3 linked regions of the Oryctolagus cuniculus genome follow. Each later gene encodes a partner of the first gene's protein in a complex. Links are inferred from orthologs where the notes say so. Each region holds a gene or a part of one and is shown on either strand. Other genes may lie near its edges.

Region 1 (4,225 bases):
CCTCTCTGATGCCCTCAGTGTGACCTACAAGAGACTGGACCATCGCTGAGAGGCACAAACCCCAGTGGTTCCAACTTTGGTTCTCTGATGCTTGGTGGTTTGAATTCAAAAACTAACTTCCCACTTGAGAGCCTGGGAAAGTCAACCTCCTGTGGGCCTGTTTTCCCACCATAAGAAAAAAAAATACAAAACTATCATAAAACTTTTTTTAAAAAAAGATTTATTTATTTGAAAGGGAGAGTTACAGAAAGGGAGAGATATCTTCCATCCGCGGATAGCTCTGGTTAGGTCAAGCCAAAGCCGGGAGCTTGGCTCCTCCCACGTGGGTGGCAGGGGCCCAAGCACCTGGGCCATCTTTGGCCGCCCTCCGGGGCACATGAGCAGGGAAGTGGCTCAGAAGTGGAGCAGCCCCAAACTTTTTTTTTTTTAAGTGTTGGTTACCACCGCCAGGCACAGACGCAACGCTCCTTAACGTGACCTAGAATTGCCGCCGCCCTGAGTCCCCGGGCGGGTGACTTGACCGCCTCAGACAGCCGGCTGGGTGTGAGGCTGACGAGGCTGGGGGGATGGACACTAGAAGCTGAAGGTGGCCGGGACAGCCTCTAATTAGGTCCGAGGGCGGGTCTCGCTTGAGGCGTCCCAATTTCTCCTCAGGGCGCAGCTGGCGGCGGGAAAGCCGCTCAGGTCGCCGAGGCCTGGATATTTCTCTTGGCCGAGAGCCCGCAGCCCGTCTCGAGGGGTTGCATTTCTGTCTCGATGAGCTCCCGGCTCTCTCTGTTTCCTCTTTGGCTCCCACTGACGGGCAGGACGCGGAAAACTCCACTTGGCGTTGCCTGGCTACCCAGCCTTCCCGCGCTCGCCTTGGCGCCTACTGCGGCTGCGCGAGCCGTCAGGGCGGGCCCCAGGGGCTCCTCCACGTGCGTGCGCCCTCTGCCGGCGACCAACGATCTTTCAAGTGCGCGTGCGCCTATCCACCAGGCCCCGCCCCTGGGCTGCCGGCGCGCGAAGCCGTTGGCCCCGCTCCCGACTCGCCCCTTCCCCTCAGAGGGCGGGGCGGGGCCTCCCCAGAGCCCGAGGCGGGGGGGGGAGGCGGGGACATGGGATGCCACACCCCCGCCCCGGTCCCTGTTTGAAGCCCCTCTACTCTTCATCGCTGGCCAATCCCAGCCCGCCCTGTCCCGAGCGCCGACCAATGGGAGGCGCGCTCGAGCTGCTTCCGGCTCCGCGCTCCGCTCGCCCCTTCCTCAGGTCTCCCCGCGACGGGCGGGGCTCGGGGGCGGGCGTCGGCCGCGGTGACGCGCGGCGGGCCGGGAGCCAATGAGGGGCGGGCTCGGAGCTGATGGACGGGTCCAGCGGCCAGTGGCGAGGCGCTGGCCGCACTTCCCGTCGAGGAGAGAGTGTAATATGGCGAAGACCTACGATTACCTGTTCAAGCTGCTGCTGATCGGGGACTCGGGGGTGGGGAAGACCTGTGTCCTGTTCCGCTTCTCCGAGGACGCCTTCAACTCCACTTTCATCTCCACCATAGGTAGCGGGGCTGGGGAGCGGCCGGGGGCGCCGGAGGCCCGGGCCGGGCGCGCCCCTGAGGGGCTGGGGCTGAGGCATCGACCCTGGCCGAGGGGCAGCGGGCTCTCAGGGGGTCTGAAGGGAGCCGAGCAGCTGGCTCCGCCGCGCTTCGCGGGTTCCCGGGCCGTGGTGGTGCTGGGGACCAGTGCCTGTTTGGCGAGTGGGTAGACTGAGGCTCCCGCCTCTCAGCCCGCTCCGTCGGGAGTGTCGGTCCGGGGCTGGGGTTTTGGCGCCCATCCTCTCGTGCCGTCCTCGCAGCCCCTTGCCAAGCCAAGTTCATCTGTGGGCGTTGTGGGAGGGGTCGGTCGTACAGAAGTGGATGCTGGGGCACTTGCGCTCTGCCAGCTGCGTGATCGCGCCCTCCTGGGGCTGCAAGTTAAGGTGTTTGTCACGAACCCATTTCGCGGATGCGGGATTTGAGGCTCAGGGTGGCCGGGGGACTTGTCCAAGGTCACACAACCTGCAGAATAAATGGCACGGATGAGACTTGAACCTCGATGCGTCTTGACAGCCCAGAGGAGCCACTTGGGAGCAACACTCCGACCCCCACCTCTCTCTCCTGCTTTTTCCCCTGGGACTGGACTTTAAGGACTGAGCCTCCTCCCTGGCCCTGGAATCGTGAGGGAGAGTGAGGAGCATTTACCCTGCCCCGCCCTCTATCCCACTCAAGGGTGACAGCCCCAGTGAGTGACAGCTGCCCGCCCAGGGACCTGTCATCCCCTCCCCCAAGGAGATGCAAGATACAAGGCTCCGTGAGAAGCCACAGACAGCACCCCACTCCCTATCACAGGGCCCAGGACTCCGTGGTTGTCCCACTGAGGGAACAGCGCTTCCGGCTGGGCCACCCCACGTGGCGGCTGAGCGGAATCCACTTGTCTTTTTCTGTCGGCCCTGCTGACTTCTCATCACCGTGCCACAAAAGCCAGCCCCTGCCCACGATGACAAGGCTGGACCCGGGAGGCACAGCCGTCCCACAGTGGCCTGCGAGCTAGGTAGCCCTGTTCAGGAAGCAGAGGGGACAGTCACCCAGTCCAGGGGTTGACCCCAGACTGAGGAAACTTAGGGAATGGCTTCCCCCCACCCCACCCCACCCCACCACTGCCACCACCACCATGTCACTTGAGCCACATCTCATTATCACCCGGAACTCCACCATGCTGGAGGTCACCATGCCTGCTTTCCTGTTGCTCTTTGCCCTGGAACAAGCACTACCCCTCTCTGAGCCCCGTGTCTTCAGATTAGAACTCCATACAATGAATGAACGGCCGCCCGTGGCCCAGAGCGACAATCTGGGGGAGACCGATTGGTTCCTGGAGTCGCCTCGCGTGGCGGGAGGTGGCACGGGAGCCAGGGTCCTGTCCTGTCCTGCCACACCAGTCTTCTTCCTGTTACATTTGAAGCCGCCTTAACGGGGCTCTGGCTTCTAGGCTTTGCTCAACCATGACCTTGGAGTTAACGGGCCTCGTAAAGTGTGCGCTTGCTAATTGAACCTCGCGTGTTCCTAGAACCCAGGAGGAGTGCAGGACAGAGGGCTGCTCTAGGGCTCAGGCGACTGAGCAGTGCATCTTGAGTTTGTGCAGCCCAGTGACAGGAGGTGCAAAGGATCCGCGCCCGACTGCTTTATCCCTGAGACAGAACTCAGGCACAGAGCCCTTGGATATTGGTATCGAGTGCCCCTCTGGGTTTTCTTAATAGATCGGGGATTGAATGGCTGTTCATTTGCTTCCCTGGGGTTACGTCTTGCCAAGGCCCATTCTTAGGAGCTCCATCCATCATCTGTGGTGTGAACTTGGCCCTGCGGCTCCCTGCGATCCATTCTCTACCAGCCTGGCTCCGTCCCCGCCATCTCCTCGGGGACCCCGCTCCGTGCCTTCTGCGAGACGGATGATGTTTGTGCAAGTGCCTCCCTCACCACGCGCGGCCACCTACACCCTGTGGCTCTGTGGCATGCCAGCCGCCTTCCACGGACATCTGGGCATCAGCACTGGAGCCAGGGCTTCAGAGCCGGCTCGGGTGCATCAGGAGGGGAGGTAGCGACGGCACGAGGCTGGGCGTTTTGTCCCTGTGACAGCAGCAAGGAAGCTGCGTGCAGCCCATTGCCTTGGCAAAGTTGCTAATGGGCAGAGTTCGAGTGCACGCTTGGGTTTGCAGCCACGAACCTGGAGCTCCATCCGGGTCTCCCATGTGGGTGGCAGGGGCCCCAGGCACTTGAGCCGTCTTTGGCTGCTGCCTTCCCAGGCGCATCCACAGGGTGTTTGGATCGGAAGCGCGCAGTAGCTGGGCCTTGAACCGGCGCTCATCCGGGATGCCGGCACCAGCCCCTTTGTAACAGCTTCAGTGAGATAATGGGGTACCGTACGGTGTCACCCACCAACCAGGTACAATTCAGGGGTGCTTTTCTGCACTCACCACAATCCGTTTTGCATTTTGGTCATGCTGGAAGAAACCCCCACCCTCCTCCGCCAATCCCCAGTCTCCCACTCTCCCCAGCCCCCGGCAACCCCGAACACACGCCCGGTGTCTGTGGGCTTGCTGTTGTGGACATTTCTGTCACAAGGTAGAAGAGGTGTGGCCTGGTGCGTGCAGTTTCTCTCGCTCAGCATCATGGCTTCCAGGGTGCATCCCTGCTGCAGCGAGTGTGGGCACTTTGTTCCTTTTT
Region 2 (3,610 bases), on another chromosome or scaffold:
GTCCTCCACATTCAACTGCAGAAGCTTTCACAAATCGAATCGGCTGCAGCCCCACTGGTTCAATGCTCAGGGTATTGTTTTCCACGGCCTCCAGAACAGCTGAAGCCAGCTTCAACAAAGTGAAAAGTATTAGACTTTATGCTTGCAGGAAAATACCAACGTTGTACTCCACAGTCATCTAATCTTATACATGATTCTTCCCCCAAGTTCCACTAGCTTGGCCTTAGCCAACAAGTAAGAAAGACATCGCATAATCTTAATTTGATTTCTCTTATAATTCAAGCACTGTTATGAAAGGCAATTCAGTTATGGTGAAATAACTTTTCTCATGACCTGGAGGAGGATTAAAGTTATTAATCCCAGTCTCTGTGTCCTCCCTACCTACAACTAAATACCCACTGTTAATGCCACTTCAAAATGAATATTCTAATGCCTTATGCCACTGAACACATGCAATTTTTTTGTGTGTTGGTCATTTATCACATAGCAGTATATGCTGGTTATGGCTATTACTTTCTGAACTTGCACATATGTGCACGAAGTAATTCACTGAATTATCAGATATTAGATCCCAGATGGAAAGGGCACAACCAATAAACAACAAATGAAAAAGGCACACTTCTCAAGCCTGCCAAGATTACGAACACTGAACGGCCCACCTGAATCCAGGCACACGGCCACAAACAACAACACAGATTCCTATCCAAAGTGTTACACAGTTAATCTGAACTTCTTCCTACAAATTAATGTTATAATTAAATCCTTGAAAGACGTAACTAAGACTCTCAGGATTAAATTTCTTCAATACTGACAGGATATTTGTGGATAAACCTTCCACATGCAAGAACAAATTTAATCTTTACATCTGTATAAAATTTTAAAAAATTTTCTATCAACCTAGTACATACTTCATTTTATCCTGTTAACACCCTTGGGACTTAAGCAAAGAGGGCATTATTTTTCATGCTTTAAAGAAGAAGAAAAGAAAAGAAGTGTGATTTCATCATGTACAGATAAACTCAACAAATGCCTTAAGCAGAATGTACAGAGAACTTCCTTATGCTGAATCTTGGACTACGAATCAAAAAATATAAGCCCTACTCCCATAGACATTTCATCCTTCTCTTGAACACAATGCAAGTCTCAGTATGAATGATGCTCTGCTCAAATAAGGAAAGATATTCAGTAATCAAATGCCAAGACATTAGGATCTAATACAGGACGGAGAAAATGCTTGAGCATGACACTTCATGATAATCTACTTATATCAGATATATTAAAATATGGAACAGGACTTCATAAAACGTACAGAATCAAATCTAATGTGTTCCCATTAACATGGAAAAAAAAAAGTTACCTCACTTTTCGAAAATGTCAAACACGGAAAGATATCTTCCTGATAGATTTTGTCTAAGAAAGGACATGTTCTGTCCATTGTTGGCTCATCCTTCCAAGACCTGAATTCATTATACAGAGACAGATCAGCCTAAACAAGCCAAAAGGAAACACATAAAAAAGTTTTAAAAAGTGCAAACAAAAAACCATTTTGTAAAACCAAAACATAATACAAATATTACTAAAAAAGAAATGCTCCTTATTTAACATAATGAACTGGACCATTCTTAATTATCTATAATACACAGTACCAACTTTTCTATAAGAAAACTGACTTTTAAGAAAACTGTCTGATGGGCCTAGTAGTATCCACATAGTATCCATGACGGTGTCCACTGATGCTGCCATTACCCTGTTGGAGCTCCTTTGAAGACACAGGTACGTACTGTTCTGAATATAAAAAAGGATGATAAGTATTTTCTGAAATTAATGAACAAGTACTTTGGAGTCAAGCTAAATAAAGTAAGAGTGAGACCTGATTTGAGGTCATAAGCTGACACTAATTGTTCTATTAACCTGGAGGCACTTAGTTTAAAAATGCCAAGATGCTTGCTGTGTAGGCAACTAGACAAAAAAGCACACACACAACCTACTAAACTATCTTAAAACTCAGCATTTATTTAAATAGTTCGGTACATCAAGTTAACTACCACCTGAACTATCCACAGAGGCGCCTGCCGGCACTGCCTTCCTAGCCACACCTGTGGCTGGCCATCCCCGGCTGCCCCTCTACAGTACATCTTCCCCAAGTCCTCTTCCCTACAGACCCTCAGGCTCCCTCAGCCCAGATCAGCACCTGCACCAGACACGCCAACCACCCCAGCACAGAGCAGTCTCACTGGTCCTCACACAGCGCCACACCAACCAGGTCCACAGTGCTGGGTGTGCTATAAACGCCCCACTGACAACAGCCGTGGCGGCCTCTCGGACGCTTAACCAGATGTGCAAGCAGTCTACACAAAGGCAAAAGAAGGCTGAGCATATCCAAGCTTTCCTATAGATTTCCTTTTAAGATATCAATGTGAGCTTTTTTCCTCCCAATTCAAATTCCTTGAATCAAAGTTAAGGGTAAGGAATTCCAAGATGGCGGAGTAGGGAGGGTGCTTATTGCTGTAGTCTAGAAGATAGTTTTAAAAAAGTGGAGAGGGGCTGGCAATGTGGTGTAGCGGGTAAAGCCACCGCCTGCAGTACCAGCACCCCTTATGGGCGCTGGTTTGAGTCCCAGCTGCTCCACTTCCAATCCAGCTTTCTGCTGCGGCCTGGGAAAGCTGTGGAAGATGGCCCAAGTCCTTGGGGCCCTGCACACGCATGGGAGACCTGGAAGATGCTCCTGGCTCCTGACTTTTGGATTGGCACAGCTCCGGCCACTGTAGCCAATTGGGGAGTGAACCAGCAAATGGAAGACCTTTCTCTCTCTCTCTCTCTCTCTGCCTCTTCTCTTTTCTCTGTTATTCTCATTTTCAAATAAGTCTTTAAAAAAAAAAAAAAAAAAAAAAGGCCGGCGCCGCGGCTCACTAGGCTAATCCTCCGCCTAGCGGCGCCGGCACCCCGGGTTCTAGTCCCGGTCGGGGCGCCAGATTGTCCCGGCTGCCCCTCTTCCAGGCCAGCTCTCTGCTGTGGCCAGGGAGTGCAGTGGAGGATGGCCCAGGTGCTTGGGCCCTGCACCCCATGGGAGACCAGGATAAGTACCTGGCTCCTGGCTCCTGCCATCGGATCAGCGCGGTGCGCCGGCTGCAGCGGCCATTGGAGGGTGAACCAACGGCAAAGGAAGACCTTTCTCTCTGTCTCTCTCTCTCACTGTCCACTCTGCCTGTCAAAAAAAAAAAAAAAAAAAGTGGAGAGAGTGCAGTCTCAGGGAAGAGTTACGGAGAAACTCCAGCAGCAAATCTGGATGAGGCAGATCGCTGACACCACCCACTCTCCTTCATACAAGCCATGACAGTGTGCTCCCTAGATGAAATAGTGAGATGAAGAAGCCTACCAAGTTTCCAGCAGGTTTTCCACAGTCAATCAGGTGGAGAATGGAACTGACGAACCCCTGAAAGCAGCCAGCTCTAGATAAAGCCTCCCCCCTCTTACTAGCACATATTTTGTACTCAAACCTTTGCCAGTAAAAACCACAACCGACACTCAGTGCTGAGAACTGAAAGCATGAGGAAAGCCAGAGGGGACAGTCCTTGACGAGTTACCTCTTTGCAGTCTTTTACAATTGGCT
Region 3 (3,610 bases), on another chromosome or scaffold:
CCCAACCCCCCAGTGCTTACCTGCCTTGCCCATCCTACCCTCTTTGAGTCCCCTTAGCTCCCCCATGGTTCTCAGCTGCGGCCAGCCAGGCCCCACGAAGAGCCCCCCTCCCAGGCCACCTTGTCTCCTCCCCCCAGGCATGTCCAGCCACCCGCACGGCGGGTCTCTGCGGCTTGAGGGCCTCCCGTTGGGTCTCCCACTTCCAAACCCAGCTCTTGCCTGGACAGAGACCTCTGGGTGACCACCCCAGCACAGGGTCACTATCCCCAGGCTGGGTCAGGCCTTTTGCCTCGACACCTCCTCCCCCTCCCAGCCCCTCTCAACCGCATCCCAGCCAGCGACTCCTCCCAACACCCTCCCTCGCCTTCCCAGTGGCTTTAGGGAGACTCCCAGGTGAAAGATTTAAGCAGCTGCGTGGGTGCAGGACTTCTCTGGGTCACGGTGGCTGTCTGAACAGACTGGAGGTGACTGGATTGACAAAGCACCAGCCCCAACCTCTTTCCACTCTGGCCCCAGTCACCCTCTGCAGGCTTGGCCGACTCCCTGTCCAGCCCACTGCCCCGGCTCCTCACACGGCCGCTCCTTCTGCTCCCTCCCCTACCTGGCAAAACCAGCTCACAAGTCCCCTTCCATGGTGAGGCTCCCACCATGCTGTCAGCTTCCCTGGCCAGATCCTGGAGGGAATCCTCCCCAGTCTCTGCCCCTTGCTCCACCTACCCTGGCGAGCGGGTTTGGCTGCTGCCCCTGCTCAGTGCTGCCTGTGTAGTACAGGGGACAAGATGCCAGGGTCGTTGGACTACTTATTGGCAGGAGGCATTGCCAGCCACTGAACATCACTTCTGCGTTAGTGGGGGGTGTGTGTGTGTGTGTGTGTGTCAGAACTCAGTGAGGGGGACAGGGAGGTAGGGGGAGCAGGGGTCAGCCAGCCAGCAGAAGGAGGAGTCCAGCTCTGGCACTCCCTTGGAGGGCCTGGGGCTCCCCAAAGACCCATCAAAGCTGCCTCCTTTGCCTGCAAGGGAGCCACAGCTGTCCGTCTCCCGTCAGGAGCCAGTCATACCTGAGCCCCGCCCACCCCACCCCCTGGGGTTCCACGCTGAGACTCAGCCCTCACTGTCCACCTGCTGGGCAGGGCTTTCCCGCGTGGGCAGGAAAGGGCACGGAGCTTACTTGGCGCTGCCGCACTCCACCGCAGCCACCGTTACAGCAGGCAGCGTGTGCAAAGCCACGGGCTCGATGGTGAGCGTGTTGTCCTCCACGGCGGCCCGGACCAGCGCCGAGAGCTGCAGAGACCAGGGCGGGGGTGGGGGTGGGGGTGAGGGGCCTGGCCCCTGCTGTAGGGTGCGGGCTGTGCCCCCCGGCTGGCCGCCATCTACCCGCCTCACCTCCTGCACGGTGAAGTCCAGGCAGGGGCCCACGTCCTCCCGGTACACCCTCTCCAGGAAAGGGCTGCTCTTGTCCAGGGTGGGCGACTCCCGCCAGGCCTGGAACTCTGCAAACAGGGTCGTGTCCACCTGCCGGGGAGGGGTAATTAGGGTGCTGGGGGCCAGCATGGCAGAGGAGGCAGATCAGGGGAAGAGCGTGCCGGGGAGGGGGCGGTGAGGTCTGTCCCCAGAGGCTGGCCGAGCAGGGAGCAGCGTTCCTTCTGCCTCCTTGCCCCTGGGAGCTGCAAGCTGCCAGCTCTGACTTCAGGCGTGCTTCCTGTTTCTCCGTGCTACAGGATAAGCACCCTGCCAGAGGTCCCTCACTGCTGAGAGCAAACCAGCAGGACCCCACGCGCCCGGGCAGGTGACAACGCACTCACAGGCGCATGCACACAGGGTGGGGGGAAGTTCATGGGGACCACACAGGCCCGCCCTGGGCGGCATGCACAGTGCATCAGGCTGCCCGGAGCAGCGGGGGGCCCCTCTCTGGAGCCATTACCTGCCGGGACAAGGAGAGAGAGGTAGCGGAGGTGGGGGCTGCAGGCGGCTCCCCGGGCGGGAGCTGCCAGGCCGGCTCGTAGGTGAGGTGGACGGCCTTGTTGGGGATCACGCACAGGAGCAGGGAGAGAAGAGGGGGCAGCCCCGGCTGGGCAGGAGGACAGGCAGGCAGGCAGACAGACAGACAGACAGGAGGAAGGAGGAGACGTCAGTGACCAATCAGAAAGCTTAGAGCTCAGAAGGAGATGCAGGGGCTGCCCCGTGCCTCTCCTCCAACAGCTGCAGGGACAGAGGTGATGGCAGGACGAGGCCTGGCTGGGTTTGGCATTGAGGACCCAGGCGGCTGCGCTGCACCACCTGTCTTTCCAGTGTCCCCCGGAAGCAGCACGGAGCTGGCTCTTGACACCCTTGTCTCGCCTGCCCATTGGCCACAGGAGGACAAGGAAACTGAGCCCCTGACAGGTGGCCTCAGTGGCTCAGGGACCCAGTGCCAGGAGTGTCAGCCCAGCCTGGACCAGGACCCCGTGTGCACAGCCCAGGTGGGAGGCAGACCCCCTCCAAAGGCCACGCTTGGATAGGCAGAGGGTGCTACAGAGCATCTCACGGGGGCTGTGGCCACACGAGGCCCAGTAGCCTGTGCCCAGCCCTCACAGCCCAGGACCCAGGCTCAGAAAGGGGCAGGACAGGTTCCAGGTCACACCGCGCGGGGCTCCGACCCGGCTGACCGTGAGGGCCGTCTCCCGCCCCCGTGCCCACAGCCCGCCCTTACCTCTTTGCCCTCCTTGTCTGGGGTGAGAGTGTGCCCTGCGGTGGGGCACACAGCGGGGCACAAGGCACTGCTGATGCTCTTGTGGCGCGAATGGCCCTTCCGGGGCCCAGCCTTGGTGGGGCTCAGCAGCTGGGGGTGGAGCTCGCGGTTGGGAGAGGCCGGCGTGGACGTGATGACCAGCGTCTTCAAGGCTGTCACCTCCGCCTGCAGCATGTCAATCTGGCCGGGATGCCATCACCCATCAGGGTCAGCCCCGGGCAGCAACTAGCACCTAACCCCACCCATCACCCTTGGAACAGCGTTTGAGGCAGGGGCCCAGGCAGCCATGCCACAGATAGGCTGAGGCTCACGGAGGAGAGGAGGCCTGCCCCAGGTCTCCCGATGAGCAGGAATGATAGGAGCAAGTGTGTGGGAGGGGCCAGGTCTCCCGGAGAGTCCTGGGGCCCTGGGAGCCAGGAGGGCCCAGGCCACACGTTTTACAGATAGGTAAACAGGCTCTAAGGCTGGGAGCTACTTCCCAGGCTCACTGGGGTTTCTGCTTTGTAAAGGGACTCGGAAGCCCCTGGAAAGCCCCAGAAAAGTCTCACTGGAGCAGCAGACACACTGGCAGAGTCCAGGGCCTGGGCTGTGTGATCAAGAGCCCCCCACTGCCCTGCTCTCCTGCCCTGCATTGGTCTAATCGGGCAGCAAAGGCCGAAGCTGGCAGGGCTGGGCGGGTGCCCCAGGAGGGCCAGGGCAGGAGGGGCCAGGCCTCACCTTGCCCCGCGCCTCCTTCAGCTGCTTCTCGGATGCCGCCTGCTTCATGTTGGCCTCTCGAACCATCTTGTGGGCTTCCTGGGAAGAGGGCAGCCTCCGTGTGGGTTGGTGGGGAGCCGAAGGCAGCCCAGGCCTGGGCTCCCCGGGCTGTGCCGCAGCGTACCTC

Evidence for each region.
Region 2: the proteins of RAB8A (region 1) and RAB3IP are in contact, whole or in part, in a crystal structure (PDB 4LHX), measured with the Homo sapiens proteins. The link is inferred for Oryctolagus cuniculus from reciprocal best matches to the Homo sapiens genes RAB8A and RAB3IP. Residues at the interface, in NP_005361.2 of Homo sapiens: Lys10, Phe33, Ser35, Thr36, Phe37, Ile43, Asp44, Phe45, Lys46, Ile47, Trp62, Ile73, Ala76, Tyr77, Arg79, Gly80; in NP_783322.1 of Homo sapiens: Ser199, Arg202, Asp203, Gly206, Leu209, Glu210, Thr213, Ala214, Phe217, Glu218, Ala220, His221, Val224, Asn228.
Region 3: the proteins of RAB8A (region 1) and RAB3IL1 are in contact, whole or in part, in a crystal structure (PDB 4LI0), measured with the Homo sapiens proteins. The link is inferred for Oryctolagus cuniculus from reciprocal best matches to the Homo sapiens genes RAB8A and RAB3IL1. Residues at the interface, in NP_005361.2 of Homo sapiens: Lys10, Phe33, Ser35, Phe37, Ile43, Asp44, Phe45, Lys46, Ile47, Gln60, Trp62, Thr72, Ile73, Thr75, Ala76, Tyr77, Arg79; in NP_037533.2 of Homo sapiens: Arg104, Glu108, Leu111, Glu112, Thr115, Ala116, Phe119, Glu120, Ala122, His123, Arg127.

What each region holds. Positions count from the first base shown.
Region 1 is NC_091447.1:64,696,562-64,700,786, forward strand, and holds the start of RAB8A (ras-related protein Rab-8A), read left to right. Parts: upstream 1-1,356; 5' UTR 1,357-1,404; coding exon 1,405-1,528; intron 1,529-4,225. UniProt on the Homo sapiens protein: The small GTPases Rab are key regulators of intracellular membrane trafficking, from the formation of transport vesicles to their fusion with membranes.
Region 2 is NC_091442.1:72,361,113-72,364,722, reverse strand, and holds part of RAB3IP (rab-3A-interacting protein), read right to left. Parts: coding exon 3,585-3,610; intron 1,487-3,584; coding exon 1,358-1,486; intron 110-1,357; coding exon 1-109. UniProt on the Homo sapiens protein: Guanine nucleotide exchange factor (GEF) which may activate RAB8A and RAB8B. Promotes the exchange of GDP to GTP, converting inactive GDP-bound Rab proteins into their active GTP-bound form.
Region 3 is NC_091432.1:10,263,160-10,266,769, reverse strand, and holds part of RAB3IL1 (guanine nucleotide exchange factor for Rab-3A), read right to left. Parts: coding exon 3,608-3,610; intron 3,523-3,607; coding exon 3,445-3,522; intron 2,908-3,444; coding exon 2,689-2,907; intron 2,068-2,688; coding exon 1,921-2,067; intron 1,512-1,920; coding exon 1,383-1,511; intron 1,281-1,382; coding exon 1,168-1,280; intron 1-1,167. UniProt on the Homo sapiens protein: Guanine nucleotide exchange factor (GEF) which may activate RAB3A, a GTPase that regulates synaptic vesicle exocytosis. Promotes the exchange of GDP to GTP, converting inactive GDP-bound Rab proteins into their active GTP-bound form.